7 linked regions of the Callithrix jacchus genome follow. The protein of the gene in region 3 interacts with the protein of the main gene of each other region in a biochemical or structural test. Links are inferred from orthologs where the notes say so. Each region holds a gene or a part of one and is shown on either strand. Other genes may lie near its edges.

Region 1 (3,500 bases), on a different chromosome or scaffold from region 3:
AAGTGATCAGATATGAGAATGTGAGATGGCAACAGATGAGTCAGGAAAGGAGTGCAAGAAGCTGATCCCAAATAAAGACAAAATTATGAAAGGAAAAACATTATGTATGTATATATAAACTAAAAGCAGAGCATATGAATGCTTAATTTGGTGAGAAGCCAAGGCAACATCTACAGAAAAGCTGATGTGTCACAACAAGGCTCAGCCATAGGGAAATAAGGCAATATAAAAAAAATGACCAAGGTATTTTGGTCACAGAATGGTCTTCTTCCTCCTCCCAGCCAACCCCTGTGAATGCATCTCTATATATCTTTATATATATATTTATATATATATAATAATATAGAATCTGTTTTTTGTTAAAAAGTATTTCAATGATCATATATATTTATCAAGGCATGATGGCTTTAGGAAATGGGGCAGGGGGGTGATCCATCATGGAAGAGCTGAGAAGAGAAATGCAGGAAGGGTAGGCTGGAGTAAGAAGTTTAAGAAGAAACTGGGGTAAAACAAATGCTCATCAAAGGGTGGCACCAACAGAATTTTCACTAATGTTTCCCACCTTCAAAGAGGCACTGATGATATAGATGGGTGCCAGGACCCCATCTCTTCTCTTGTATCCCTCTCCCAATTCTTCCCACCACCATGCATTTTAATGCTTCATGGCTCTCTCTTCCCACATGTCTCTTGGACCCATGCTACCTTGCATCCCAGGGTTGATGGGTATGGCCCATATGTCTCTGGCCCCAGGTGCCTGATCTCAGAAGCCATTGCCACTGATATTAATGGACTGCAGATCCGCCACCTGCATGACGTTGATGCCACTGTTGGCAAGACGGGCAATGCCCTCTGGACAGATGGCCTCCATGGCTACCATATTGGTGGTAATAAGGGCTGAAGGAGTGGCAGAGCCGCTGCCTTCTGAACCTGCCCCACTGTCCAGGGGCAAAGTGCCCACACTCAGGGCTACACCTGGGCCTCCCTTCTTATTCTGGTGGGTCTTGATATGTTTTGACAGATGGTCACTCCTCATGAAGCGCTTAGGACACTCAGGGCAGGCAAATTTCTTCTCACCTAGGTAAAGGAAGAAAAGAAGCTGACATGTTAGGAAGTGAGATTACCTTACCTAATTCACTGCTTTCAAACTCTACTAGGCTGAATAAGGCCAGTATGACAAGATTATTAAAAACAAGAAAAATCTTGAAGTATCTTTTCCTTTTGGTTGGGGGGACAGGGAAGAAAAGTAGATAAAGGTTAGGGAGTACTCAGTAAGGACGGTGGAACTTAGCAGAAAAGTAAGGCAAGGCAGAGACTAAGAGTAATGGTTTCAATACTTCGCCTTCAAAATCCCACTCAAAACCTAGCTCCTTCCTTTTTTTTCCTTGAGACAGAGTCTTGCTCTGTCACCCAGGTGGGAGTGCAGTGGGGCAATCTCAGCTCACTGCAACTAAGCCTTCTGATTCCCCTGCCTCAGCTTCCCAAGTAGCTGGGATTACAGATGCCCGCCACCAAGCCTGGCTATTTTGTATTTTTAGTAGAGATAGGGTGTCCCCATGTTGGCCAGGCTGGTATCAAACTCCTGACCTTAAGAGATCCACCCGCCTGGGCCTCCCAAAGTCTTGGGATTACAGGCGTGAGCCACTGCACCTGGCCCTCCTTCCTTCTTAAAAGTTTTCCAGATTAACTCCAATTCCATTTGTGACCCATATAATTCAGTTTCAAATTAAGTTGCTAAGAAATTTTAGTTATTTTGTAAGTGTATTTTGTGTTTTTCATTCTGATCTATTACTATTTTTCTCTCCCACAGGCTCTTGCTCACCTGTGTGTGTACGTTTGTGCCTCTGTAGCTCATCCGAACGGGTAAAGCGTTTCCCACAGTATGACCAGGTACACATAAATGGTCTCTCGCCAGTATGCCAGCGCAAGTGTGCCCGCAGGTGTGAGGTCTTGCCATATACTTTCCCACAGCCTTGGATGTGGCAAATATGCTGTTTCTTTTTGCCAGGATCCCCTGAACCCCTAAAAGTAAGAATACAACTATTCATCATTCATTCTAAAGACAGAAACTAAAGAACCACAAAGTATCAACAGCAATTACCCAACCTACACCAAACTTACTCAAACTTTTTTTTTTTTGAGACAGAGTCTCACTTTGTCACCCAGGCTAGAGTGCAATGGTGCCCTCTTGGCTCACTGCAAACTCCCCCTCCCGGGTTCAAGCAATTCTCCTGCCTCAGCCTCCCAAGTAGCTGGGATTACAGGCGTGCCACCAAACTCAGCCAATTTTTGTATTTTTAAGTAGAGACTGGGTTTCACCATGTTGGTCAGGCTGGTCTCGAACCCCTGACCTTGTGATCCGCCCGCCTCAGCCTCCCAAAGTGCTGGGATTACAGGTGTGACCAAACTTTTATTTTTGAAAAAGGCTTCCTTTTTTTTGCTTTTGAGACTGAGTCTCTCTCTGTCACCCAAGCTGAAGTGCAGTGGCACAATCTCAGCTTACTGCAACATTGCCTCCTGGGTTCAAGTGATTCTCCTGCCTCAGCCTCCCAAGTAGCTAGGACTATAGGCGTGGGCCACCACGCCGGCTAATTTTTTTATTTTTAGTAGAGATGGGGTTTCACCATGTTAGCCAGGATGGTCTCGATCTCCTGATCTTGTGAGCTGCCCACCTGGGCCTCCCAAACAGCTGGGATTACAGGCGTGAGCCACTGCGCTTAGCTAAGGCCTCATTTTTTGTTGTTGTTCATTCTATTTTGTTTTTTTTGAGACGAAGTCTCACTCTGTCGTCCAGGCTGGAGTGCAGTAGCATGATCACAGCTCACTGCAACCTCTCCCTCTCCTACCCAGGTTCAAGAGATTATCTGGCCTCAGCATCCCAAGTAGCTGGGACTACAAGTGCACGCCACCAGGCCCAACTAATTTTTGTATCTCTAGTAGAAACGAAGTTAGCCATGTTGGCCAGGCTGATCGCAAACCCCTGACCTCAGGTGATGAATCCGTCCATCTCTGCCTCCCAAAGTGCTGAGATTACAAGTGTGAGCCACTGTGCCAGGCCAGAGGCTTTTTTTTTTTTTTTGAGATGAACTTTCACTTTTGTTGCCCAGGCTGGAATGCAATGGCACGATCTCAGCTCATCAAAACCTCCGCCTCCCAGGTTCAAGCAATTCTCCTGCCTCAGCCTCCTAAGTAGCTGGGATTACAGGCGCATGACACCACACCCAGCTACTTTTGTATTTTTAGTAGAGACAGGGTTTCTCCATGTTGGTCAGGCTGGTCTTGAACTCCCGACCTCAGGTGATCTGCCCGCCTTGGCCTCCCAAAGTGCTGGGATTACACCATGCCCAGCCAATGTTTCTTTTTAAAAAGGCTTCTAGGCTGAACAAGGTGGCTCACACCTGTAATCCTAACACTTTGTGGGGCCGAGGCAGGAGGATTGCTTAAGCCCAGAAATTTGAGACCAGCCTGGGCAACACAGGGAGACCCCATCGCTATAAAAAAAT
Region 2 (3,928 bases), on a different chromosome or scaffold from region 3:
AATGGATCAAGTAGCTTTTCAGTTAAAGAGGCCTGAATGTTTAGAAATCATTTCCCTTCTTTAGGAAGTCTGCTTCTGTTCTGAGAGAAAAGTCTTCCATAAAAGTAACAAACTCACATGTTCAACAAGTAGATATATTAGTGATTTCATCATCTTTGTCATCCTACTCACTTATTTTCTAAGTATCCAAACATATAGAAGCTTTGACCAAGAAGCTGTGTTTGTTTCAGTTCTGAAAAGCCCTAACAATGTTATTAGATTACTGTGATAAATTTTAATCTGATGACAGCTTGTGACCCACAAATTGCTGTTTAAAATTAAAATGCATTTAAAATGAAACTGGCAAGAGAACTACAATATTAAACTTGCAATCTGCTGTGATGAAACACCAGTATAAATCACTATATTAAATACAAATACAATTAATTTTATATAGCATCTTGCAATTGAAATATAAAATGCCCTTAAATGCATTGCCTCATTAAATTAAAATTGGTTGATTAATCTTACTTTTTAATCTTTGTTTTGCAAATTAAAAAGTTTAAGTAGAGATAGATTGGATTGGCTTTGGTAATACACCCTTTGGCAGAGCTCCAGGTATAATCTAGGGCTACAGGCTTCTAGGTTTCTCTTTCGATGAGCAAAAGTCCTCTATTTTCCTCATTCCAAATATTCATCTGCAGTAAATTAAGACATGCTTTTCACATGCTTAATTTTATTTATAATGCATAAGGTATAGTTACTCAAGTTGTATTAAATGTGATCTTTAAACTTTTTTATATGTTAGTTTTGAAAAACAACTACACTGATATTGTTGGCAGACCAGCTAATTATTGCTAACTTAGTAAGAATTGAGATTTTTCTGTAATGAATGTTTGTATCAGTTTATTATTCAGCAATACTGTAAATAAAACTCAACCCAATGTATGTGTTTTCATCCCACATTTTAGCATTGAAGAATTGTATGTGGTAATGAAATAATTAAGTACAGTTGTTTGCAAATAATTTAATAATCCAATCATAGCTATTTTTCTGGTTTTCAAAATGTACCAAAGAACTATTGAAAACTCCACAATATAATATCATAATTATAACAAGTAATGTGTGTGTTTAGTAATAGCTGTAATAATCTATGCATTATTTGCTCAAAATATTCATGATGCATTTAAATAATAGCATTAGCTAGAATAAGAAAGTACCATATCTCACTCCCACTAATGCACACAGAGAATAAAATTCACCCACTCTTTTTAAAAAGATGCCACAAGGATTGTAATTTCAGAACAATTATTTTTACTCATTACTTCTAGAACATAGTATACACTCAGCAAATGTTGGTTGAAGAAATGAATGGATATGTGTGATTGGATGAGATGCAAACTCAGGGAAAATGCCTAGTCTCTGGTTGTTACGGGACTACTGCATGGACAACTGCTGTCACAGTAGTGTTTCTAAAATCTCTCTGCCATATTTTATTTTGGTTCATGTGTGTGTGAGACAATGATAAGGAATTCAGCCCAGCAAGTCTCTCCGCATTACATAAAGGTGCTATGTATTCAAAAAGCAGGGACACCACATGTAATATCTCTCAGGTACTTTTCAAGGTTTGCTTCTACACGAGATTTGATATTGATTATGGTGCTTCAAATCTATTTATATTTGGGAGCAGTCTCACTGTTATTCTTGGTTACACCTCTTCAAATCTGTCCTAGGGACTGTGCCTACCCCAGGGTTGTAAGCTTTGGAACTGTGATCCGGTTTTCCCCCCGTTGCGTGCCAGCGGACGCTAGCCATGGTGCTGAAAGAGACAAGAGGATTCTATTTGAAACCTTTCCTTCCTCTTACTGGTTTAGAAAATTCGAGTGACAAGAGCAGGGGCCAAAGGAGCCTGGAGCAGCATCACTAATGTGAACCATGTATTTCGGTCTTTTGGGCGGAGATGTGGTCCATCAGGTTACATGCAATGCCTCCCTGTGAGCGTTCGCTAGACCAAGAGACCTTATGAATGTAGCCGCTGCAGTAGAAAAGGTTACATCCAGCAGGATGCCTAGTCCCTCTTCTGAAAAATTGACATTTAAGTGCATAGCCTAGAAACAAAAGCAGGGAGTCTAGACGGAGGGGAGGAGAAGCGGGGAGCAAACCTGTATTCATATTGAAAATGTTCACTATTTTCACATAAGGTAAAGAATCACATAAGGTAAAGGGCAAATTTTAGCTTAAGTTTTCGGCCTCAGTTTTCCAACAGGTGCACAACTCCCTCACCCCTTCCCTGTCAGGTACTGTCCTGCTTTAACCTTCTTAGAAAGGCTTCCTTTGCAAGGCAAGCTTTTCCTGGAGTCCTAAGCATGTGCAGTTTCCCATCTCATGCACAGCTCCGGCTCTATGCCTGGCAACCCCTTACCTGCAGCATGAAGATTAAGGAGCAGGCACAGCGCAGGGAAGCCGACTGCTCTCCGCATAGTGTGTGCATTGAGAGGTGGAGGAGAAACCCCACCACGACCCCACTTTAGGTAAAGTGCTATTAGAAAGAGACACCGCCAAGGGTCTTCTAGTCTCCGGGATTCATTCGCAGGTCCTCGGATGGGGTTTGCAGATCAGTCAGTCTGTGGCGCCGATAGAAACGAGCACCCGCTTCAACCTCCCTAAGAGAGGAAGAGAGGAAGAGGAAGTAGAGTAGGAGGTTTCGGGGAAAGGGGACAGAAGCATTCAGAGGCGGCAAATGCTTGGCCTTCCCGGGACCCAGCAGCCAAGGCGGAGACGGCAGGGTGGACTCCGCGCCAGCCCAGCAGCGCAGCAGCACGGCAGCCAGTGCAGCGTGAGCAGCAGCCCAGACGCGCTGCGGCTACTGAGCATGCCCAGCGCCGGCCCTCACTAGGCACGGGAGTTTCAAAGTGAAATTCCGCTTCTCCGGGTCTTAGCGGTGGCTTGGAGCAGAGTAGGCTCTACCTCTGGGGTGGGTGGTGGTGGTGGGAGGGGGTGGGGAAAGTGGGAAGTGCAGGGGAGGCGCTTGCCGTGGTTACTAGGGACCCAGAGTCCATCAAAAATCCGAGGGTGGTGTGTGGCAGAGTGAGAGTAAATGGGGGCATGGCCAGAGGAGGGAGTTGATGACAGTGTCAACCGTGCCACCCACCTTACTCTTTACCCAAGTCTTGATTACACGTGGACCTAGCTCACTGCCAGGAATTGGCACGTGCAGATTGACCAGCTTCCCAGGGCTCGCCTACGGGAATAGAGATGTCTTCCACCACTGCTGAGCTTTCTTGCTGCTTGGGGGAAGCGTTCCCAAGGCAGCGTGCTTGGTGTAAGCAGAAACCATGTATCTCGGGGGTGTCTTCGTCCTTCCTACAGCTTCCCCTTCTTCGCTTCTCTTTCCATTCTCTCCAGCTCAATCCCTGCATTTAAACTTTCTTCTGACTCAAGTCTAAAGTATATGATCACAGTGACAGAAAGAAGCGAGGCTGTATTTCTAGACTAGTAGAATGTATCCATGTAATTGAAGCAAAAGAAGGCACTTTTTAGTTTCATGGAACTAATTTTCTTGAGTTTCCCCCTTTAAGGTGAAAGATAATAGATCACTTCAGTGCCTGGGCTCCTTCTACCCAGCTCTGTGTCTCTAGGGAGGCTACCACAGTCTGTCCAATGTAGATGGTTTTTATCCCCACATCTAAGTCTTCGGAGTGTGGAGAGCCTTAGTCATGGCTAATTGCTGCTGGTCAAGAAGTCCCTCCCTAGACTTCTCTCTTTTAACTTCCCAGGGCCACTGCCCTTTCTGCGTCTGTGTCTTCATGGATGCTGTTGCCTCCTTCTTATTTTCCTTCACTTGCATCACAATCACACTTGAGTTTTACAAGGTTTAATGTTGGTGTCACTTTTCCAGAAAGCACTAACTCTAACTAACTCTAGATTACAGTGATCTTTCTCTTCCATA
Region 3 (3,928 bases):
ATAGTCTGAGATGGACAGGTGTGATCCCAGAGCTTTGGGAGGCCAAGGTGGGAGGATTCCTTGAAGTCAGAGTTTCAGACCAGCCTGGGCAACATAGCAAGACCCAGTCTCTACCCACCAAAAAAACATATTTTCTTTTCTTTTTTTTTGAGATGGAATCGCCTTGCTTTGTCACCCAGGCTGGAGTGCAGTGGGCGATCTTGGCTCACTGCTGCAACCTCTGCCTCCTGGGTTCAAGCAATTCTCCTGCCTCCACCTACTGAGTAGCTGGGATTACAGGCGCCCACCATCAGGCCCCAATAATTTTTGTATGTTTAGTAGACACGGGTTTCACCACGTTGGCCAGGCCGGTCTGAAACTCCTGACCTCAAGTTATCCGCCCAACTCGGCCTCTCAAAGTGCTGGGATTATAGGCGTGAGCTACCGTGCCGGAACCCCCCAAAATTTTTTAATTAGCAGGGCATGGTGTTGTCCACTCGTAGTCCCGGCTCTTCGGGAGGCTGAGGTTGAAGGATCGCTTGACCCCAATCACTCGAGGCTGCAGTGAGCTATGATTGCACCACTACACTCCAGCCTGGACGACAGAGCGAGACCCTGTCTCTAAAAGAAAAAAACAGTATAGGATTTTGAGAGGCATGGAATTATAAAGAGCCTCTGTGTCAAAAGACATCATTTTGAGTCTCACGTCTGTCATTACTAGGGACCTTACCCAAGTTAGTTAACCCAACTCACAGATTGCCGATCTGTAAAATTTGATTCATTTATTCGAACATTTTTTTGATCTAGGGTGATCCCGGGCCCAGGTTCTGGTGGGCTCCCGCACACATTGGCTGGCTGGCTCTGGGAGGTCACGCGCTGGCCGCTTCATCATCGAGGAGAGGGTGAAGACGATCTCCGAGGCCGCGCTGCTGAGCCTTCCCGTGGCCTGGAGGCCACGGAACCAGCAGGGATCCAAGGCCCGCGCACCTAGGGCTGGAAGGGCAGGCGCGCGCAGGGCGGCTCACGTGACAGCCCCGGGCCCGCCTGGGGTCGGGGGCGCGCGGGGGCGGGGCGGGGGCGGGGCCTGGCGCGCGCGGCCCCGCGGGTGACAGGCGGGCGGGAAGGGGCGGGGCCTCGGGCGGGGCCGCTGAGGGGAGGAGGGCGGCGGGAGGGGAGGAGTGGAGATGGCGGCGGCGGCGGCGGCGGCGGCTCAGGGGGGCGGGGGCGGGGAGCCCCGGAGAGCCGAGGGGGTCGGCCCGGGGGTCCCGGGGGAAGTGGAAATGGTGAAGGGGCAGCCGTTCGACGTGGGCCCGCGCTACACGCAGCTGCAGTACATCGGCGAGGGCGCTTACGGCATGGTCAGGTGAGGGGGCGTTCCGGGGGAGGGGGCGCCCTCGGGGGAGGGGGCTTCGCGGGAGAGGAGGGGGAGGCGCCGAGCGCTTTCCAGGACGTGGAGACGCGGAGCGTCCCGAGGAGGCCGGGGACTCGGGATGATCGGGAGCGTCCCAGGGAGGGGTCCCTGAATGCTTTCTGGGGGAGGGGTCGCTGCTACGTCCTCAGAGGAGGGGGCTTGGAGCTTTGAGTCCAGCACTCCGTAATGACGGGAGGGGCATCTGAGTGCATGTGGGGGACTGCCGGGACCCTAGAGACACGGGGCAAGGCCCAGAGGATGAGTACTCTCGGGGAGGCGACATCCTTAGTGAAGGGGCAGTGGAGGGTCGTTCTGGGGGAAAGGGTGTCTTGGATTCCCTGTGAGGCAGTGCTTGGAAGCCTGGGGGAGAAGAACAGAGATCAGGGTGTGGCAGGGCTTTGGCCCTCCCTTCCCACCACCACCAGGGGCTCAGTGAGGGATGAAGGGGCCAGGAGTGCCACCTGCATGTTTTGGGAGGGGTCTGTGAGTGCCCCCCGCCCCTCCATGTGCTCTGGGACAGCCTGGCTGCCTGGGCCCCTCACTCTGGGACCCTCCCCTGCCCTGTCCATTCCCTGGCTGCTGCTTTCCCACTGTGTTTGCCCCATGGTGTGGTCCCAGCATCTGCACCCCTGGACCTGTCTTGGGTTAAGGAGCCTTTCCTGGGAAGTGGGGTGAAGGGTTCAGGGCCACTAGAATGAAAGGGGATTGAGGAGAGGGGAAGTCAGTGAGTGGTCAGTCTCTTCCTCTGTTTGTAAAGTCACCGCAGGGGCGCCTGGCTGGTCCCCAGCTTTCTCTCTAGAGATCCCAGGCCTCCACAGCAGGAAGGAACCAGCATTGTTTATGAATTGGCCAGAGCCAGCTCCTGCTCCCTCCCCTCCCTGCCAAGGCCTGGGTGGGGCCACCAGGCCTGGACTCCCACTTTGTAAGGCCACAGCAGCAGCCTCTCTCTGGTCCCCTCAGCTCGGCCTATGACCACGTGCGCAAGACTCGAGTGGCCATCAAGAAGATCAGCCCCTTCGAGCATCAGACCTACTGCCAGCGCACGCTCCGGGAGATCCAGATCCTGCTGCGCTTTCGCCATGAGAATGTCATCGGCATCCGAGACATTCTTCGGGCGTCCACCCTGGAAGCCATGAGGGATGTGTATCCTTCACCTTGGCCTTCATGGCCTCCGAGCTGGGCTGGGGAACCATCACTTGCTTTCTGTTTCCATCTTCCCCACCATCCTCCAAAAAAAACCCAGTAAAATAAACTTTCCTGCAGAGGAGAGGCCACAGTGTAACAGGACTTGGAGGCCTCTGATGAATCCAGGCCTGTGGCAGCCGGGCAGTATGGCCTTGAGCAAGTCGGTTCTCTGCTCTGTGCCCCAGGGGGAGAGCTGGGCAGGATGGTCTCTATGGGAGTGTTGTCTTCTGACATCTGCAGTTCTGAGACATGACCCGGCCACAGCCCACAGTCACTTCTTGATAACAAATGGACGATTCTTTTCTCTCTTTTCTCTTTCCCCAGACTGGAAGGGAGACAGGGAGAAAGAAAGCTGTCAGCCGGGTGCAGTGGCTCACGCCTGTAATTCCAGCACTTTGGGAGGCCAAGGCAGGTGGATTACTTGAGGTCAGGAGTTGGAGACCAGCCTGGCCAACATGGTAACATTGTAAAACCCCATCTCTACTAAAAATACAGAAAAAAAAAATATATATAGCCGGGCCAGCTACTCTGGAGGCAGGGGTAGGAGAATCACTTGAACCCAGGAGGTGGACAGTGAGCCAAGATCATGGCATTACATCCCAGACTGGGTGACAGAGCAAGACTCTGTCTCAAAAAAAACAAAAAAACTACCTTTCTTGAGGGCCTATTGTGGGTCAGGTACTATATATGCCCAGTGCTTTATTTATTTATTTTGCTATTACACCTTCCAGCTATCCTATGAGATGGGTTTTTCAGCTCCATTTTTTTTTTTTTTTTTTTTTTGAGACGGAGTTTCACTCTTGTTACCCAGGTTGGAGTGCAATGGCACGATCTCAGCTCACCGCAACCTCTGCCTCCTGGGTTCAAGCAATTCTCCTGCCTCAGCCTCCCGAGTAGCTGGGACTACGGGTGCGCACCACCATGCCCAGCTAATTTTTGTATTTTTAGTAGAGACGGGGTTTCAACATGTTGACCAGGATGGTCTCAATCTCTTGACCTTGTGATCCACCCGCCTTGGCCTCCCAAAGTGCTGGGATTACAGGCATGAGCCACTGCATCCGGCCTTCAGCTCCATTTCAAAGATGAGGGGTGGAGAGCAATGGCTCACGTCTGTAGTCCCAACACTTTGGGAGGCCAAGACTGGAAGATTGCTGGAGACCAGGAGTTCAAGACCAGCCTGGGCAGCATAGTGAGACCCCATCTCTACAGAAAATTTAAAAATTAACCAGGTTTGGTGGTGCACAATTGTAGTCCCAGCTACTTGGGAGGCTGAGGCAGGAGAATGGCTTGAGCTCAGGAGTTAGAGGCTGCAGTGGGCTGTGATTGTGCTACTGTACTCCAGCCTGGGGGACA
Region 4 (4,256 bases), on a different chromosome or scaffold from region 3:
ATTCTCATATGTGTATGTGTTGTCGGGAATGATAATACTGGTAGGTATGTCAAGCATGAAGAGATTCTACAAAAACCGGGGCAAGCAAAAAGAAACTGGCTCACACACTGAGTCCTTTCTCTTCTGCCCCATTTTGTCAGAGGGACTTGATGTACCCACTACATATTGGTCCCGAATGCTGAGTTCAGCAAATGTCTTGACGCTAAGTCATCAGGACGACTGGTTAGGAACCCAGGAGAACTCGAGTGAAATTAAATAAATAAGGACCAGCTCTCTCGAGCCCCTCCCAGAGTTATTGCATTTCTCCTCTCAAGAAGGAGCCTGGAGTCCCGGTGGGATGTGAAGAGCCTCACCTCCCGTGGCCTTTCAGCAGCTGGGAGAGGTCGTGATGGGGCTCTGCAGGTAGCTCAGCGCACTGTTCGTGGAGTGGACAGGGATGGAGACAGGGAAGTTGAAGACGGTGGTGGTGGAGGTGCCTCGGTCCAGCACAGCCATGGCAGGGCTCCCAGCCTCTGCCGAGCAGTGTGGGGCCAGCACCTGGGACTCAAACTGCAGCAGCTGGCCCATGAAGCTGAAGTTGGGGGAGATGATGCTTCGCCTCTGCTTCACAAACTCAAAGGCCTCATCCAGCTTGACTCGGTTAGTCCTCATGAGGTAAGCGAGGCAGATGGTGGCTGATCGGGAAATACCTGCCTGGCAATGGACAAACACCCTTCCTCCAGCATTCTTGACGGAGTCTGGAAAACAAAAGGAGCAGCTAGTTACTTGAGAGCTCAGGAGAACCACCCCAAGCCCAGGTACAGGGTGTCTGAGAAAAGTCATGGGTGTCTTATCTAGAAATGGTCACTATCACCACATGCCATCACATGGATACTGCTCATGGAGCAAGGCAATGTGGGTGCCATGCAAAGGGTGGCACAGGATTTAAACCCAGACTGGGAGTTTCCACTCAGCAGATAGATCTCGGACCAGTCAATTCAACTTTGTGAGCCCCAGTTTGCTAATCTGTAAAGTGGGACATCAAATCAAATTCATATTTTGCAGGAATGTTGCCCACACTAGACAGATACTGAATGTGTGGAAGAAGGCTCAGAAGACTTCATTCAAGTCCTTGCTACAGAGGATGGGCTTAGGGGCTAAAATGAGAAGAGAGAGGCAGAAAAGCCCCAGGCATCAATTCCATTTACCTATGAAGTCAATGGCCTCATTGAACCAGGAGCTGATGTCCGCCTTGTGGTTGTCCTCCACAGGGATACTCTTGTACTGGTAGTGACCCTCAAAATGGTTGGGACAATTGGCTGAGACGTTGATCAAGGCAGTGATGCCCAAGGCATCCAGCATGTCCTTGCGGGAAGCATGGTAGGCACTGCCCAGGTACAGAAAGGGCAGGATCTCCACCGGTCCACCCTGAAATCCAGAAATATCCAACCTTCGTCAGCTTGCTCAAAGCCAAGGCCAGTGCCCACACCCACAAAAACTTCCTGCTGGAGAAGTCAATTTCAGATACCAGGTGAACTCAGTTCTTTTGCTGGAGGATAAATAAATAGAGGTCTAAGCCCATTTGCCTGGGCAGGACCAGCAAGTTCATTTCTGTAGAGCCTACAATTAGAGACTCGGCTTCATCAGACCACTTAACTGTGGAATAAATCATATCCCTGTGTCCCCTCTTATAAATAAAGCTGTAGGTCACTTTCTATATTCTCCCTGGCACTGCTCTTCCATGTCTTTGCCAGTTCTTACTTCTCCCCTGTGGCAGGGGCGCCTACTAACCTGATCGTAGAGTGGAGTACTGCAGGAACTGCACCCAGATTCCGCGCTGTCAGGGACGCTAGTACTCAGGGGAAGGCTGAGCCCCATGGGGGTCGACTGTTTGCTGCACAGCTCCGGGCAGGAAGCTGAAAACGCTTCGTATCCTCCTGGGAATACAAAGGCATTTTTTTCCATTAGTGTCGCCGGGACTGGGCACCTTCATACAAACTCCCCCACCCACCAAGGGCTGGAAGTTTACATCCGAAAGGCCCAGGCAAGTCTTTGTTCCCAGAGCCAAACAAAGCCAATGACAAGTTCCAGAGATAAATGTATTCCAACGCCCACGCGCTGCAGACGGGGCGGGCCCCCAGGAGCCGAGGGCCAGGGGTACCGGGCAAAACCTCAGGGGTATACGGCCCGCCCAGAGCTTCCCCGAGGGCGTACCTTTGAGGAAGAAGACCTTCGCGGCGCGCGCCTCACGGCAAAGCGCGCCGGCCGCCAGGGCCAGGGTGCCGTCGCGCTTGGCGCCGTCCAAGGCGGCGCTGCGCTCGTCCAGCAACACCACGGCTTGGTAAGCACCGGCCAGCAGGCGGCCGCGCAGCTCGGCGTTGGGCACGATGTGCTCCAGGCCCATGGCGCCCTTGGCCCGGCGCCGCACGATGGTGCTGAAGCGCACGTTGACCGAGCCGGCGATGTGGCCGGCGTTGAAAGCGAAGAAGGAGCGGCAGTCCAGCAGCAGGCACTGCGCCGCGCGCTCCCCCAGCAGCGCCCGCAGGCCTCCGGCGTCCAGGGTGCCCACTTCCATGACCATGGCCGGCTTCAGCGCCCCCAGTGTGCTCGACCCTGCGGTGCTCTTTGTCCTCGGGGCCAAGGGCAGGGCGGCGGCTTTCGAGGAAAAGCTCGACACCGCCCCCCGGGTCTCTCTGCGCGGAACCAAAAGCCGCTTTTGGACTGAGAGGGGCGTCACGCAGGACTCAGGGTTCCTCGGCTTCTTAGCGGCCCCGACTGCCCCTCCGATCAGCGTCGCGCACACAGCCCGAACGTCCTTCACAGCTAGCCAGAGTGGGAAAGCGCCTTTATAAGCGGCCTCTCGGGGGGCGGGGCGGACCGGGCGGGCGCGCAGGGGGAGGGGGTGTTTGTTTGAATGGTGATCACGTGATAGAGTGGTGACGTCACCCGCCCTGCCCGGCCTGGCGCCGCCGAGCCAGAGGCGAAGACGTCATCAGCCTCGGAGCCGGGTCCGCTCGCCGCGCACTGGCTCGCGGCCCGGCCCCCGCCCTGCTCCTGGCGCGTCCCCTGGGACCTGGTCCGCGCCGCGCTCGGGGCCCAGCGGGGCGGAGGAGAGCTTGCTGCCAGCTGAGGCTGACCTCCGGGATGCGAGCGGCCCGGAGAGGGGGCGACATGCCACCTGCCTCGGCATCGCCGCTCCCCGGACACCTCCCTCCCCGAGTCCCCTTCCCAGCGCCCCTCGGCCGCCGACCTAGCCGAAAGGGGCTTCCTGCACTTTTGCATAGTCTTGTGCCCCTTTCTCTTATTTCCTCATCACTAACGAGCGAGGAAACAGGTTCCCCGGGCGAAGCGACGGACTTGCCCAGAACCACACTGCTGGGGTGGTGGTAGGAGCAGCAAAGAGGCGCCTAAGATGAAGTTTATAGAAAAATGAACAACTCTGCCGATAGAAAAGTCGTTCCTACCAAGAGCGACCTGAGCGAGTTGGGGTGGAGAGGTTCAGGGCAATGCTTTCCTGTTTCCCAGACTTTCTTTAAGGTGGCTTTAAAATACCTACGTTTGCCGTGAAAATGCAAGCAAGCAAACCCCCACCGGGAAATAATTACTAGTCTTGTGGCCCCCGGAAGACTTGGAGCCGAAGAAGGCAGGTCAGGGGGCTGGAATCCCGGTGGGGGTCGCAAGGCCCTGCGGTGGGTTCCGGGTTTTGGCGTATTGAGGGGTGAGGGGCGACCCGCAGCGCGACTCGACGGCTCCCCCCAGGGGCCGTCCGACGCGTTTCTGTCACCTTGGCTCAAGACCGAGCTTCTCCATCCCTTTCTTTATTCCACAAATATACAGTATACTGAGTGAGCGCCCACTAAGCTGGCGGGGGGGGGGCTCCAATCCGGAACAGAAGCCGCCCCTCCTCCCCCCGCTCCCGGTCGTCGCGGCCGTTACTGGCTGAAAGCAAACTCCAATCCCGGGCCGTTCTGGGCGGAAGACAGGACCTGGATCGCAACGGTTGGGAAGACCCCACACAGCAATATCCGTGCCCTGAGTCCCAGTGACGGCCCCCTGGACAGCGGGGCCTGCTGCAGCGACGCGACGCGCTAGGTACACAAACATAAACATTGCGCCACCCGCCCGGGTGCCGAGTCAGGAACATTCTGCGGTTTCCTCCCCTCCTGGGGGAGGGGAATTCGCCGGCCACCCTCTGTCGTCGCTGTGCGAGTTGTATCACCACAGGCAACTTCTGCATTTGTCTCGCTTAGCCTGTGTGCTTTCCGCCTGCTCAAATG
Region 5 (4,135 bases), on a different chromosome or scaffold from region 3:
GGACTCACATTCTAATGCGGAGAGACAGACACAAACAAGAAACCCACACAGTGTGTCACAGTGATAAAGGGACAAAGCAGGGACCTGGCTTGAGCCCTCCTGGGTGTGCAGCTTCAGATGGTAAGGGAGGGGTTGATTTTTTTTTTTGTTTTTACAAGCAGCATTGTTAGGAACTGTTTTTGTAATACATGTGCCTTTGTATAGTATTTTCCAAGCACCATGGTGTGACAATCAATCTTTACTGAACTAACACTACCCAGGTGCAACAAAAAGAGTGATTACTCTTAGAAACATCTTTTATGCCTGTGCCTTTAGGAGAGTGTATTACGCACACCACAGTGATTTTGTTTTGCCCAGGCTGGCCTCGAACTCCTGGGCTCCAGCGATCCTTCCACCTCAGCTACAGTCCAAGTAGCTGGCACTACAGGTGCACACCCCCATGCCCGGCTACACACCACAGTTTTGTGAACACATTCTTTCAATGCAACACAGTCCTTATTCACATATGCAACTAGCACTCCTAGAAACAGCTTTTATACCGTGCCATTACAGAGCCTATTACATACCTCACAGTTTTGTAAACACAGCCTTTCGAAAAGGAGGAAAATCCTTGTTCATATACAAACGAGCATTCTTAGAAACATCTTTGATACATGTTATCTTTTTGTATTTGCATTCCCTGCACCACAGTGTGGTAAACTTTTGGTGGCTGGTATTTGAACAAAGTGCTGAAAGGAATCATGCAGAGATCTGGGAGTGGTATACAAGGCACAAAGAACAGCCAATGCAAAGGGCCTGAGGCTGGTCCATGGCTGCTGTTTCAGGAGCTGTGCAGTGGAGGCAGTGTGGTTGGAGCACAGTCAGGGGGTGGGGAGGTATAGGCAGTAATGCTAAAAAGGTTACTTGTTTTACCATTATTTCACAGGTAATATTTATTTACACTGGAGGGGATTCTAGTTCTGATCCCCCATTTCACAAATGAAGAAAAAGGTGCAGAGAGGAAGTGGCTAAATCACTCATCTAAGGTCACAGAGCTGCTGGGATTGGGGGGTGGGTGGGTGCTGAGACAAGGTGGGTAATGGAGACAGCTCTGCAGGCAGAGGGAACAGCAAGAACAAAAGCTTGGAGATGGGAACCAATTTGGTTTTTAAGGACCGAGGCCTCACGTGGGGTGGGATGGGGTCTAAGAGGGGAGCCTCAAAAATTATCCTGTGCCCTGAGTACTTCCTGGGCCACCTCTGAGTAAGGAATTTAACCTCCCTATGGCCCGGCTCCCTCAGTACCTACCTCATGGGGTTGTGGTGAGGATTAAAGAAACTCATTCATATGACACACTCTGATACCCAGCAGGTGCTTAATAAACGCTAGCTCCTATTGGCATTACAATCATCACTGGCGCTAATGTGTTTACTTATTGTAGTGAGGCAGAACGTCTTTGTGGTTACAAGTGTGATCAGGCTGACCCACTATATTAAGAGGTGGGGGACAAGAAAGGCCATACATTTCTCCACCACAAGGAAAAGAGGATCAGCACGTTCTCCTCTGGGAAGGGAAAAAAAAGAAGGAAATTCAAAGTACACGGCAGACCTTCCTCCAATTACAAAGCACTGGACTCAGGGGAGGGTATGCGGGGGACTGTGCAAGCATACTGGGGTGTGGGGGAGGAAGGCCAATGAACAGATCCACTGAAAATGGAGGGGGGATGAGGCTCAACATCTGAGGGGAAGGAGAGCAGAAAACCTTACAGACTCCTGCACCACACCACAGTGAGGGGAGAGAAAAGCCATCACACAGACTGATTCAAAGCAGAGAGGGACAAGGCTATGGACTGAGCTACTGAAAATAGGGAAATATAAAGCACTTGACTGACTCACTATTAAAAAGAAGAGAGAAGCCCAAGCGCTACAGTGACAGTCTACGAAAAAGGGAGGACAGATAGGGCAATGGACTGATAGCTAAGGGGATGTGAATCCAAACATGAAGACTGATCCACTATAAAATGGTGGTGGTGGTGGTGATGGTGATGGTGTGTGTGTGTGTGTGTGTGTGTGTGTGGCGGGTTTCTGAAAAAAGCCATGGACTGATGCATTGGGGGACTGGAGGAGGCAGGAATACAAACTCTGATAGACCCACTGTTAAAGAGGGATGTGTGTGGAGGGGTGCGGCGCCACGAATTGATTCGCTACAATGAACAGGAGGGGAAGAATAAACAAGGCCACGGACGGGTCTTCCCCTGAAAGTTGAGGCTAGGAGAAATGCAAACACTCAGATACACCTACTATTAAGGGGACTGAACACTGCCACAGGCGGGCTCCCTATAAGTGTGGGTGGATGGGGGGTGCGTGGGGGTAGGGGGAAAGCCTATGGACGAGTCCATCCTAAGTTGGCGTGGGAAAAAATATAAGCACGCAGACCGATCCATTATACAACGGGAGGGGGAGGTTAGGCCACGGTCAGATCCACTACAAGGGGCGAAGGGCGTGGGCAATGCCACAAGCAGGTCCACCAGCCGTGGTGGTGGTGGTGGTGGCGGCGGGGAGTCGAACACCAGCAGGCCACCGGCCAAGCCACATCCTCTGAGCGGGGGCGGGAAGGATACGTGGGGTCACGGACCGGGCCCTCCACCCTCCAAGCCCAGAGCTCACCTGTGTGTAGCGTGGCGGTGGCGTTGGCAATGTTGGTAGCTCCGGGGGGCGGGGGCTCCATACGCGGCCCCACCGCCCCCCAGGCCTGGGTTCCGAGGCGGCGGCGGCGGTGGCGGCGGCGACAGCACCTAGAAGCCGCCCCTGCGTTTCCCTACGGCTCACGTGGGCACGGGGAGGAGGAGTCCAGTGTCCCGCCGCTCGCTGATTGGCCAAAGCGCTATTAATCGGCCACACGGCCTAGAGGGGCTGGGGGACTGGACCTTCCCCACGGAGCTGTGCTGTGATTGGCCTAAGGGGAAATGATGGAATGCTCACGGCCCCTGGAGTCCCGAGGAGGCTTGTTCCGCCTTCCTGGTGCTCCACGGCGATTGGCTCAAGGACTGACGGACTGTGAGCAACTGATAAGGCTGGGGGGGGTGTGTGGGGGGGCGCGGAGGGGACTGCCTCACACTGATTGGCTTACATGGGATTGATGGAAGACAGCCTCCAAGGACGGGGGTGGGTGGCCCTGTTTTCCTCTGATTGGCGGATGAGGGACTCTAGACCCCTGCCAAAACACCAAGGGGGCGGTGCCGCACGCCACGCTGCCCAGCGGAAGCAGGACTTGTATAGAAATGGGCGTAGCAGCCGGCAGGAGTGGGTCGGGCTGGGCTGGGCTGTGCGTAGGCGGACAGTGTACCTCTATGGTTAGAAAGGACCCTAGAGCTGGGTAGAAGACGAATTTAGAACACAACGGAGGTAGGAGGGCAGGATGGCTGTCAGGCACACGGAGTATTGAGTGGCAGAAACGAAATGTCTTCAGAGGGCAGGGCTGAACTGTGGCCGAACTTAAAAAGGGGAGGAACCTGGGTCTGCGTTGATTGGCGGCGGCTGGACTCAACCTAAAACAGGGGTCGGACTAGGGAGAGCGGGATTCAGCTCTGCCTGTTGGAAGCTGGAACCACTTAGAAGCAGGGGCTAGGACAAGGCAGGGCTGAGGTGGGTGTGGGTGTAATTTAGGGCACCTGAGGAGCGACTGGGTGTGTGAAAGGGTAAACCTTAGGGCCCTTTGGTTGCTGTGAAAATGAACAAACCACCATAAATCGGCTCATTCTCTATGGCAAATCAAAGGGTGGTGTCTAAGAAAAGGAATGGCTGAGATGGGGGCCCAGGTTGCCAAGATGACAGAAGAGAGGGCAGTGCATAAGGTCAGCTGGCAAATACTGCCAGGCAACAGGCTGGAGGCAGGACTGCTGGGGCATTTTAGAGGTTCCACAGAGAGAATGGACCTCAGGGGTCTCTCTGTAACTTTGTGCCCTAGTAACAGGCCCCTGTGGCAACCAGCAGAGTTCATGGGGAAAAAGAAATGCCATGTGACTCAAAGGCATTCAGGCTCTTTAATGTCTGACGATAGGGGGAAGAAGTCAATGGTGAGGCTTCTCTGGGAAATTCTGCAGGCCTTGTAGTTCTCTAAGCCCCTGAAAAAGAGGAGACTGATCAAAGACTGGGTC
Region 6 (3,500 bases), on a different chromosome or scaffold from region 3:
TTCTGGGTGATGCTTAACAATAATAATGGTGACTGCTTATCTAAGGAACCCGTGTTTGTCACCACCTTTTACTTTCCCAGTGATTCTGTGAGCTGAGTGGGCGTGTTACCTCCATTTTACAGATGAGAGGACCGAGTCTCAGAGGTGGCTAACAGCAGACCTGGCCTTCGTCCTGGGTATGGTGGCTCCAGGTCCTCATAAGCCGATGGGACACTCTCCACTCCCTGCTGTCTCTTTGGCGTCCCCTCCCGTGGCTCTAGGGATCTCCCCTGACACCCACGTCTGCTTGGCTCCTGCTTGCTCCTGAGGGCCCAAGCCCTGGGCAACGCAAACTGCAGTCCACCTGGGCCCCAGCCCTGTCCCAGAGTCAACGTCAGCCGCCTGCTCCGGCTCCTGAACCGGCCCAGGTGCAGCCCTTCCTCAAGCACCTGCAGCTCCACATGCATCTCGGGGAAAACCTGCGTGCAAATGCAGATGGGCACTGCCACCTGCGCCCTGGCATGCCTGCTGGGACAGAGTATGCCCAGGGCATGGTGCAGCGCGGCTGAGTCAGAAGCAGCCACCACCCTTGTGCTCAGCTCAGCTGGCGTTCGTTGCTGGGACCCCCTCAGTCCCTGCTCAGTGACGCTGAGCAGAGGGTATCTTACCAGCTTAAAAATTTTGGAAAGCGTGCCCTGGGCATCGACTCCCTTGAATCCCTTGTGAGCCGATTTATAGTCGGACGCTCTGCCTCCGTAGCCAAATCCTGGTCTCTGCCCTTCGGCCCCCTGCAAAGAAAGACCACAGAGCTCAGCCTCTACCCCAGGTGCAAGGCAGTCTGCTTGAGCCACTGAGAGCTGCCACCAGGGGCCCGGGGAAGGGCCCAGGCCCCGGACTGGGCTGGTGAGTGGTTCAGGAGCCACAGGCCAGCCCTGAGCTGGGGGGCGGGGCGGGAGAGGCGGCTCCCCGGACCTACCAGGGTGTTAGCCGCAGAGAGAGGAGGGCTGTGGCTTGGGTAGAGGCTCTCGTGGCTCTCTCACGTGGCTCTCTCACGTGGCTCCCACACACATAGTTAAGGATCTACATCGTTCAGGGAACAGTGGCTTACCTTTGCGCTGTGGGGTGGTCAAGAGAAGATTAGCAAACATGAAGCAAATCAAGGTAAGGAGGCTCCTGCCTACCCGTGTTTGGAGGACTCCCACCTGGGGGCTGTGCCGGGTGTGGGGCCCGTCCCGGAGGCCCCTGGAGGGCCCAGGGCCTTTCCTCAGGGCTCCTCGCTGATAAGATTTGCACAGACTGGATTCTGGTCACATGGACCCTGCAGTTCTAGGATCGATTATCTGGGGGATCAGGAATCCCTGGCCTTAGTAAAATGTGGAGGCTCGTATCTTTTCTAGAGTTTAGAGACAAAATCCTGAGCTTTCTCCCAGGCGTGAGCAGGAATCAGCCTCCCTGGGCCGTGGCTTGCACTGGGAGCAAGGCCCCTGACGGGAGCCTGGAGCTGCTGAGCGGGACAGAGGGAGGAGGCAAGACAGAGGGAGGAGGCAGGCCTGGCCGGCGCGGGGCATGGGGATGAGGGTGCAGCGTCTCAGCTCCCCAGCCTCCCAGTCTCCTAGCACCTTTCTAGCTCCTCCAGCTGTGTGACCTTGGGCAGGGGCAGGAACCTCTCTGAGCTTCAGTTTCCTCATCTGTACAATGAAGTTGTGTGAGAACACGATGAAGAATGCATGGCGATGTCACTCCCCAGGTGGGGGCTGCCAGCTCTGGACTGTGGTGCCCTCTGTGGTTTACGGATGATCAGGCTGCCCTGCCCTGGCCTCGTCAGCCCCAGCAGCCCCTCTGGCTTCCTCATGGGCCGTGTGACTGAGGGGCTTCCTGACACACACGGGCGTGAGTGCTCTGGGACTAGCCCCTTCCTACTGTGCTGTCTTCTCAAGTGGGAAGTCCACCGCTTGCTGTGGGGTCTGGGAGCGCGGGATGTTAGCCACTGGGGTGACGTGTCCTCCCTCGGTGGCTGCACTGTCTGTGGGAAGGCTGACCGTGCTGTTGGCTTTTCAGGGTGGGATCTCAGGGGGCCTTGTGAATCTACTCAATGGTCAGGGTCCCAGACTCACTCTGCGTTTTGCCAACAAGATGTGGGAGCCTGTCCTAGAGCCCTGAAGACTTTGTGGAAGCCGAACCAAACCATCTCCCCTGCACCTGCCTGCAGCCTGTTTCCACGTCATTAAAATGTGTTAGGACAGGGAGGACCCTGACCAACCTAGCCCCCCTCTAATTCAGAGGGCTCGAGGCTTCCAGAGCAGTAGGCTGGCGCCCAGAACCTCTACTGGGTGCCTCCCGCTGTACAAGTACTTCCAGTTTTCATTTAACCTGTGCTTAGGAGCAAGCACGGTCACTCAGAACCCAGGCAGCTGCTTCTGTGTGAACGGCTGATTTAGGGGCTACCCCGTGACGTGAGGGACAGAGGGTGTGTGGCAAGAAGGTCTAAGCACACGCATGCGGGGACAGCCAGCCTTGCCTTTGCGTCCTGGAGGTTTCCAGGGTCGCGGGCACCCTGATGGCAGGGGGCGTGGGAGGCCAGGCTGGTGGTCCCAGCCACATGGCAGAACGCCACTTCCCCAGCACATGCTCCGTCATTCTGTCTCACTCTATGGCTTTTCTCCAGAAATGGTTTTTGAGAACTAAATCTGGGGACTGACTTTCAGATTAAGAATCTGCCTGGCCTTTCCTCCTTTCAAATCCTTAGTCACGTTTATCTTTGGGCAACCTAGAACGTTCCAGGACACACACACACAGTTTAGAAAGAGAAAGTGGGGCTTTCTGCAACTCCAGACAGGATAGGGTCCTGCAGCGCTGGGGACAGCCAAGCAGATGAAAGGCAGAGAAGGGTTTTGCTTGGAAAAAAGAAAAATTCAAGAAACATTAGTAGGACCCAAAAAGGAGAGATGCAGAGAGGATTGCAGGGGGTTTCTCATTAGCTGCGGGGCGGAACGGCCTGTGTGCGGTCCCCAGCGCTCCACATTCAGGGAGGATTCTGCGTGCGCCCCAAAGTCCACGCCTAGAAAATTAAGAGCAGATAAAGCGGTAGCTAAAGTGAGATTTCTGGGCCAGAAATGAATTTCATTCTTCAGTGTCATCTGTCTCCTGCTGGCACAGAGAATAAACAATTAATTGGCTGTGAGTCCTGGCCCGTGTACATTTCTACATGACTGCCGTCGTCTGGCAAATTCCTTATGTCAGAAAACGCAAGTCAAGTATGCATGAATATGAGACGTTTCAGGAAACATCTTAGCTCATGATTCAGCGTAATAAAGTGTGGGACTAACACGGGGTCCGCGTGGAATCCTTTCTCCGCCATTCTCTCAAGTGCTGCTTCCCCTCCTCCCTCTTTCCCACTTTCTTTCTCTTTTCTGTTCCTGTTCTTCCTTCCTGTTCTTTCTCTTGTTGTCTTTTAAAGTGTATTCGTTCATTTATATGACGCTTATTAACTGAGCAGTAAGTGTAGGTGGGTTCTGTTCTAG
Region 7 (4,038 bases), on a different chromosome or scaffold from region 3:
CTCCCTTCATCCTAGCTGCAGATCTTACTTGGCAAGATGGTCTTGTATCGGTCCTTGGAGGCATGGCCAGGGATGTCCAGGTCTTCGGGGCTGACAAAGTTTGAAGGGATCTTCTGGCAGGGGGAAGAAATGAGTGAGCAGCTGACTCCCCTTCCTAGCCGCCTTTTCTCCTCTTCTATTCTTTTCTAGAACAACTGGGCTCTGGCTGTTCCTTCTTGATATTAATATGTAGGCCTAGATGGGGTGGCTGCAGAAGGCGAAGCCCAGGTGGAGCCCCCTCCCCCAGCCCTAGAGTTCTCTTTCCTAAGGGTCCAAAGAGGAGACAGGCCGACGGTCCCTGTGAGAGAATGGTTCCAGCTGGCTGCCTCTGACACAGAGCAGAGCAATTCAGAAGGGACCTCAATTTCTTACCAAGAATTCTTCTTCCAGCTGCTTGGGGCTGGGTGGCTGGCACTGAAGGGCCCAGCGGGTAAGGGGGTGTCCAGCAGTGCGCAGAAAGTGTAGGGTGACCTCCCGGGGAGTGTTCACGGAGCAGATGGGTTCTACAGCCCCCAGGGACCGGACATCCAGCATCAGAGCCACATTGGAGCCCCGCCTGCAGGCACAGTCCACACTGCCTAGTGAGCACCCAATCGTATTTGTTTTGCTTTTTATCTTTTCTTTTAGGTATAGGGTCTCTCTCTGTTGCCCAGGCTGGAAGGTGATGGCACTATTATGGCTCATAGCAGCCTCAAACTCCTGAACTGAAGCGATCCTCCCACCTCAGCCTCCGGAGTAGCTGGGACCACAGGCACATGCTACTGTGCCTGGCTAATTTAAAATAATTTTTTTTTTTTTTTTTTTTTTTGGTTTTGAACTCCTGGGCTCAAGTGATCCTTCTGCCTTGGCTTCCCAAAGTGCTGGTTACAGGCATGAGCCACTGTGCCTGACCATACTTGCTTTTCTTACAAGTATTACTGTTATGAGGCACCTCTGAGGGGGCCGCTTCTTGTCTTTACTTTAACCTGGAGGCCCAGTGAATTTAGGGTTCAGGCCCCTGCTGTATACATTCCCCCCCGCCCCTTCCTAGCCCAGGCTGGTCTCCAATTCCTGGACTCAAGAGATCCTTCCACCTCAGCCTCTCAAAGTGCTGAGATTTTGGGCATGAGCTACCATGCCGGGCTCAGCCCTGTGTCAGCCAGACAGGGCAGCCTTGAACTCAACTGCTCCTTCCAGCTGCCTGCCTCTTCCCACTCCCAGCCAGGCCCTGTGGCTCTGACGTGCATCCAGCACCAAGAAGGCCACTGGCCTGGCCTGGAATTTAGGGATCAGGCTCAGGGTTGTTAAGAAACTCTGTGCTCCAGACATGCAAAACACATGCAAATGAGCACTACTGGTTTCCTTTGCATACTGGAGTCAACAATTGGACTATGTTGTCAGAGCTGGAGGGGCAGGTGGAGGAAAGGGAGGAAGGGAATGGGGCTCAGGGCCGGGAAGACCCCTCCCCCAGGGGAGATCTTACCTCTCCTGTAGCCGCACATGCTTCTTGGCTGGCGTTTTGGCAGGCAGAGGCTGGGTCATGGCTGCCCCCAAAGAAATGGTCGGTGGCTGGGCTGTGGAGCTCCCTCCACAGGCCTGGACCATGCTGGGGTGGGGTGCTGGGCCCAGGAGAGGCTCACTCAGCCATGAGGTCTGCCTGAAAGACAGGGCCCTCCGCTGCTGTTCCCTGGCCTGCCTGATTGGCCAGAAGGAGGCTTCCACGCCCAGGCCGGCTTTGCGCTCCGTTTTCACTGGGGCATCTCCTGTTTCCCAAGAGGTAGCCTCATGTTCACTACAGGAAGGACAGGATCTCTTTGGTGGGACCCAGGGCAGAAGGCAGTCTGGGGTTAGAGTAACGGCAAGATAAAGGTAGAGATTGTGGATGAAGATAGGAAAGAAGCCAAAAGGAGGAGGAGAGAGAAGAGAGAGGCCACACAGGGCTCTGCGGGTCCAAGTGGAGAAGGCAAGGGAGGAAATGGAAGACATGTGTTCTCTAGGACGGAAGGGAGAAAGCATGCAGAAGCCATCTCGGAGCTAACCAGTGGGCTTTCTCCTCAACAGGGAATGGCAGCTGCAGCAGTGCTGGAGATGGGTGGGCAGCCAGGCAGGCCAGCTCTAGGACCCCGGCAGGGTCCTCTCCTAACTGCTGATGTTCCACTCTTAAGTCCGTTTCTGGCTTCTGGGGTGTCTGTCCAGGGAGGTAGGCTGGGGGTGTTTCCTTCCTCCTCCTGCCCATCCCCCGCCTCCCGCCTCTGTAACCGTCACAGGAAATGGCCTCACCAAGCCCTTGAGCGACAGTGCATGGTGAGGCGACAGCTGGGGGCAAGACAGGGGGCATGCAGATGGTGGGACCATCTCCTCTTGGGGACAGTCTGTATCTCCCAGAGCCAGGGTCACAGCGGGCAAGGTGGTGGGGGTGATTAGTCAGCAAGGCAGGGATGGAGGTAAGGGGACAGGGAGGGTCCGGCGCAGGTGTGGGTGGTAGAAAGAGGGTCTCTGGCAGCAGAAAGGGGGTCTTCAGCCTCCGCTCTCTTTGCAGCTCCCTGTGGCTTCCGTGCTTACCCCCTTCTGGGGGACATCAGGGCTGTGAGCACCCATTCCCCAGCCAGGCCCTGTAGCACCCCACTCGCCCTCCCATACTCCCTCCTGCAGATGCCCCCTTATATCCCTGGAGTTCGCAACCCCCAGGGCCACAGGACTCCCGGTCCCCCTTCAGATACTTACTGAAGCAGCTGTGGCCCCCAGGCTGCCTCTTGCCAGCTGTCTGTCTGTCTGTCAGTCTGTCTTTGAGGGCTGAGAAGGCTTCAGGAAGCCAGCTTCCTCCCTCCGCCCCTCCTTGCTGCCACCCACGCATACCCCAGCTGCATGCTGCCCTCCTGTGCCTGCTGCTGCTGCCACCAGGGGTCGGGTGCCTCCTGCCTCTGCCCTTATGGATCCCAAGGCCCTGTTTCCTGGGAATGGGTGAGGGGCTAGGCCTTTCTACCATCCTGCTTCCCCCGGCTTCCAGACCCTCTCCCGTCCTGCTGTGTTTCTCCTCTGGGTCTTGACCTTGGCCAGAGGCTTTTTCTGCTTCTCTGCCTCTGCCCCACAGCCCTCTCCCTCGAAGCCCTTGCTGCTTCAAGCCTTGGGAATTCATGGCCAAGCACAGACCACATCTTCCCAGAGCAGATGTGACACAGACTTGGGGTGGGGAAAAGGAGGAGGCAAGAATCCATGCCTCACAATGGGAAGGAAAGGCCCCGGCCAGGCCAAAAAGGTCGTCTCCATGCCCTGTGCCACAGCCGGGCTCTCCGTAGGCAGATAGCAGAGTCCACTTGTAGGAGGGAATCTGAGGGGCTTCCCCTGGGCCCCCAATCCCCTGCGGGCCTCCTCCCAGAACCCTGACATCTGCTTGGAAGACTTACAGACAGCAGACAGTCTCTGGCCCTCACAGCAGGGGACTCCCATGTCCTCTTCGCTGCTGGGGTGCCTGGGACCTGAGGGGTGGCCCCCAAGTGCAAGACTCCTCTGCCCCCTGCCCCTGCCTGGCCTTGGCAGGCTCCTTGTGGGCCAGCAGCCCAGCTGGTTCACGCTTGCTGCACGCCTCCTTTTACCTTGTAATATTTCAAACACCCTTCCCTTCCCGGCCCCCAACACGCACAATCCACGTCCTCTTTCTTCCTCCCACTTCCCTGATTCAGCTGTCAAATGGTGACAGCAAAAAAGAAATGAGGTACCATAGGCACAGGGGTAGGCACGCTGGAGGGGGTGATCGGGAGGGGCTGGCTTTCTGCTGGCCCCCTGGGGAGGGCTGGATATGAAGGACAGCAATAACCCTCTGAAACTCAGGAGGCCTCCCAGCACCTGCGCTTGCTCTTGGCAGTGGGGACAGGGGCTGGCTCTTTTCTGAGTCCCTTCATGGCCAGCAGACCCTGGTGCCTTCTTTCCTGCAGCCTGTGCTCCTCTCTGGAGTGGGTGGGTTTCCCTGAGGAGGAGGCGGATTAGGGCTGGGAAAGGGGTTGGCTCCTGTGCTCAGGACAG

Evidence for each region.
Region 1: of the proteins of MAPK3 (region 3) and SP1, one has a biochemical effect on the other in vitro, tested with the Homo sapiens proteins (2 studies listed by BioGRID). The link is inferred for Callithrix jacchus from reciprocal best matches to the Homo sapiens genes MAPK3 and SP1.
Region 2: the proteins of MAPK3 (region 3) and PTPRR form a complex in vitro, tested with the Homo sapiens proteins (2 studies listed by BioGRID). The link is inferred for Callithrix jacchus from reciprocal best matches to the Homo sapiens genes MAPK3 and PTPRR.
Region 4: of the proteins of MAPK3 (region 3) and DUSP1, one has a biochemical effect on the other in vitro, tested with the Homo sapiens proteins (2 studies listed by BioGRID and IntAct). The link is inferred for Callithrix jacchus from reciprocal best matches to the Homo sapiens genes MAPK3 and DUSP1.
Region 5: of the proteins of MAPK3 (region 3) and ELK1, one has a biochemical effect on the other in vitro, tested with the Homo sapiens proteins (6 studies listed by BioGRID and IntAct, with this or other methods). The link is inferred for Callithrix jacchus from reciprocal best matches to the Homo sapiens genes MAPK3 and ELK1.
Region 6: of the proteins of MAPK3 (region 3) and MBP, one has a biochemical effect on the other in vitro, tested with the Homo sapiens proteins (5 studies listed by BioGRID). The link is inferred for Callithrix jacchus from reciprocal best matches to the Homo sapiens genes MAPK3 and MBP.
Region 7: the proteins of MAPK3 (region 3) and PTPN7 form a complex in vitro, tested with the Homo sapiens proteins (3 studies listed by BioGRID, with this or other methods). The link is inferred for Callithrix jacchus from reciprocal best matches to the Homo sapiens genes MAPK3 and PTPN7.

Annotation. Positions count from the first base shown.
Region 1 is NC_133510.1:66,144,082-66,147,581, forward strand, and holds part of SP1 (transcription factor Sp1), read right to left. Parts: intron 2,020-3,500; coding exon 1,820-2,019; intron 1,075-1,819; coding exon 761-1,074; 3' UTR 1-760. UniProt on the Homo sapiens protein: Transcription factor that can activate or repress transcription in response to physiological and pathological stimuli.
Region 2 is NC_133510.1:73,448,541-73,452,468, forward strand, and holds the start of PTPRR (receptor-type tyrosine-protein phosphatase R), read right to left. Parts: upstream 2,801-3,928; 5' UTR 2,460-2,800; coding exon 2,402-2,459; intron 1-2,401. UniProt on the Homo sapiens protein: Sequesters mitogen-activated protein kinases (MAPKs) such as MAPK1, MAPK3 and MAPK14 in the cytoplasm in an inactive form.
Region 3 is NC_133513.1:29,405,771-29,409,698, forward strand, and holds the start of MAPK3 (mitogen-activated protein kinase 3), read left to right. Parts: upstream 1-1,128; 5' UTR 1,129-1,163; coding exon 1,164-1,342; intron 1,343-2,350; coding exon 2,351-2,533; intron 2,534-3,928.
Region 4 is NC_133503.1:65,119,004-65,123,259, forward strand, and holds the start of DUSP1 (dual specificity protein phosphatase 1), read right to left. Parts: upstream 2,801-4,256; 5' UTR 2,561-2,800; coding exon 2,194-2,560; intron 1,917-2,193; coding exon 1,771-1,916; intron 1,408-1,770; coding exon 1,188-1,407; intron 738-1,187; coding exon 367-737; 3' UTR 1-366. UniProt on the Homo sapiens protein: Dual specificity phosphatase that dephosphorylates MAP kinase MAPK1/ERK2 on both 'Thr-183' and 'Tyr-185', regulating its activity during the meiotic cell cycle.
Region 5 is NC_133524.1:48,610,085-48,614,219, forward strand, and holds the start of ELK1 (ETS domain-containing protein Elk-1), read right to left. Parts: upstream 2,801-4,135; 5' UTR 2,646-2,800; intron 1-2,645. Other genes in the region: protein UXT, read right to left, coding at 4,049-4,102. UniProt on the Homo sapiens protein: Transcription factor that binds to purine-rich DNA sequences. Forms a ternary complex with SRF and the ETS and SRF motifs of the serum response element (SRE) on the promoter region of immediate early genes such as FOS and IER2.
Region 6 is NC_133514.1:119,420,668-119,424,167, forward strand, and holds part of MBP (myelin basic protein), read right to left. Parts: intron 768-3,500; coding exon 648-767; intron 1-647. UniProt on the Homo sapiens protein: The classic group of MBP isoforms (isoform 4-isoform 14) are with PLP the most abundant protein components of the myelin membrane in the CNS. They have a role in both its formation and stabilization.
Region 7 is NC_133520.1:29,191,739-29,195,776, forward strand, and holds the start of PTPN7 (tyrosine-protein phosphatase non-receptor type 7), read right to left. Parts: upstream 2,801-4,038; 5' UTR 2,035-2,800; coding exon 1,502-2,034; intron 596-1,501; coding exon 412-595; intron 114-411; coding exon 29-113; intron 1-28. UniProt on the Homo sapiens protein: Protein phosphatase that acts preferentially on tyrosine-phosphorylated MAPK1. Plays a role in the regulation of T and B-lymphocyte development and signal transduction.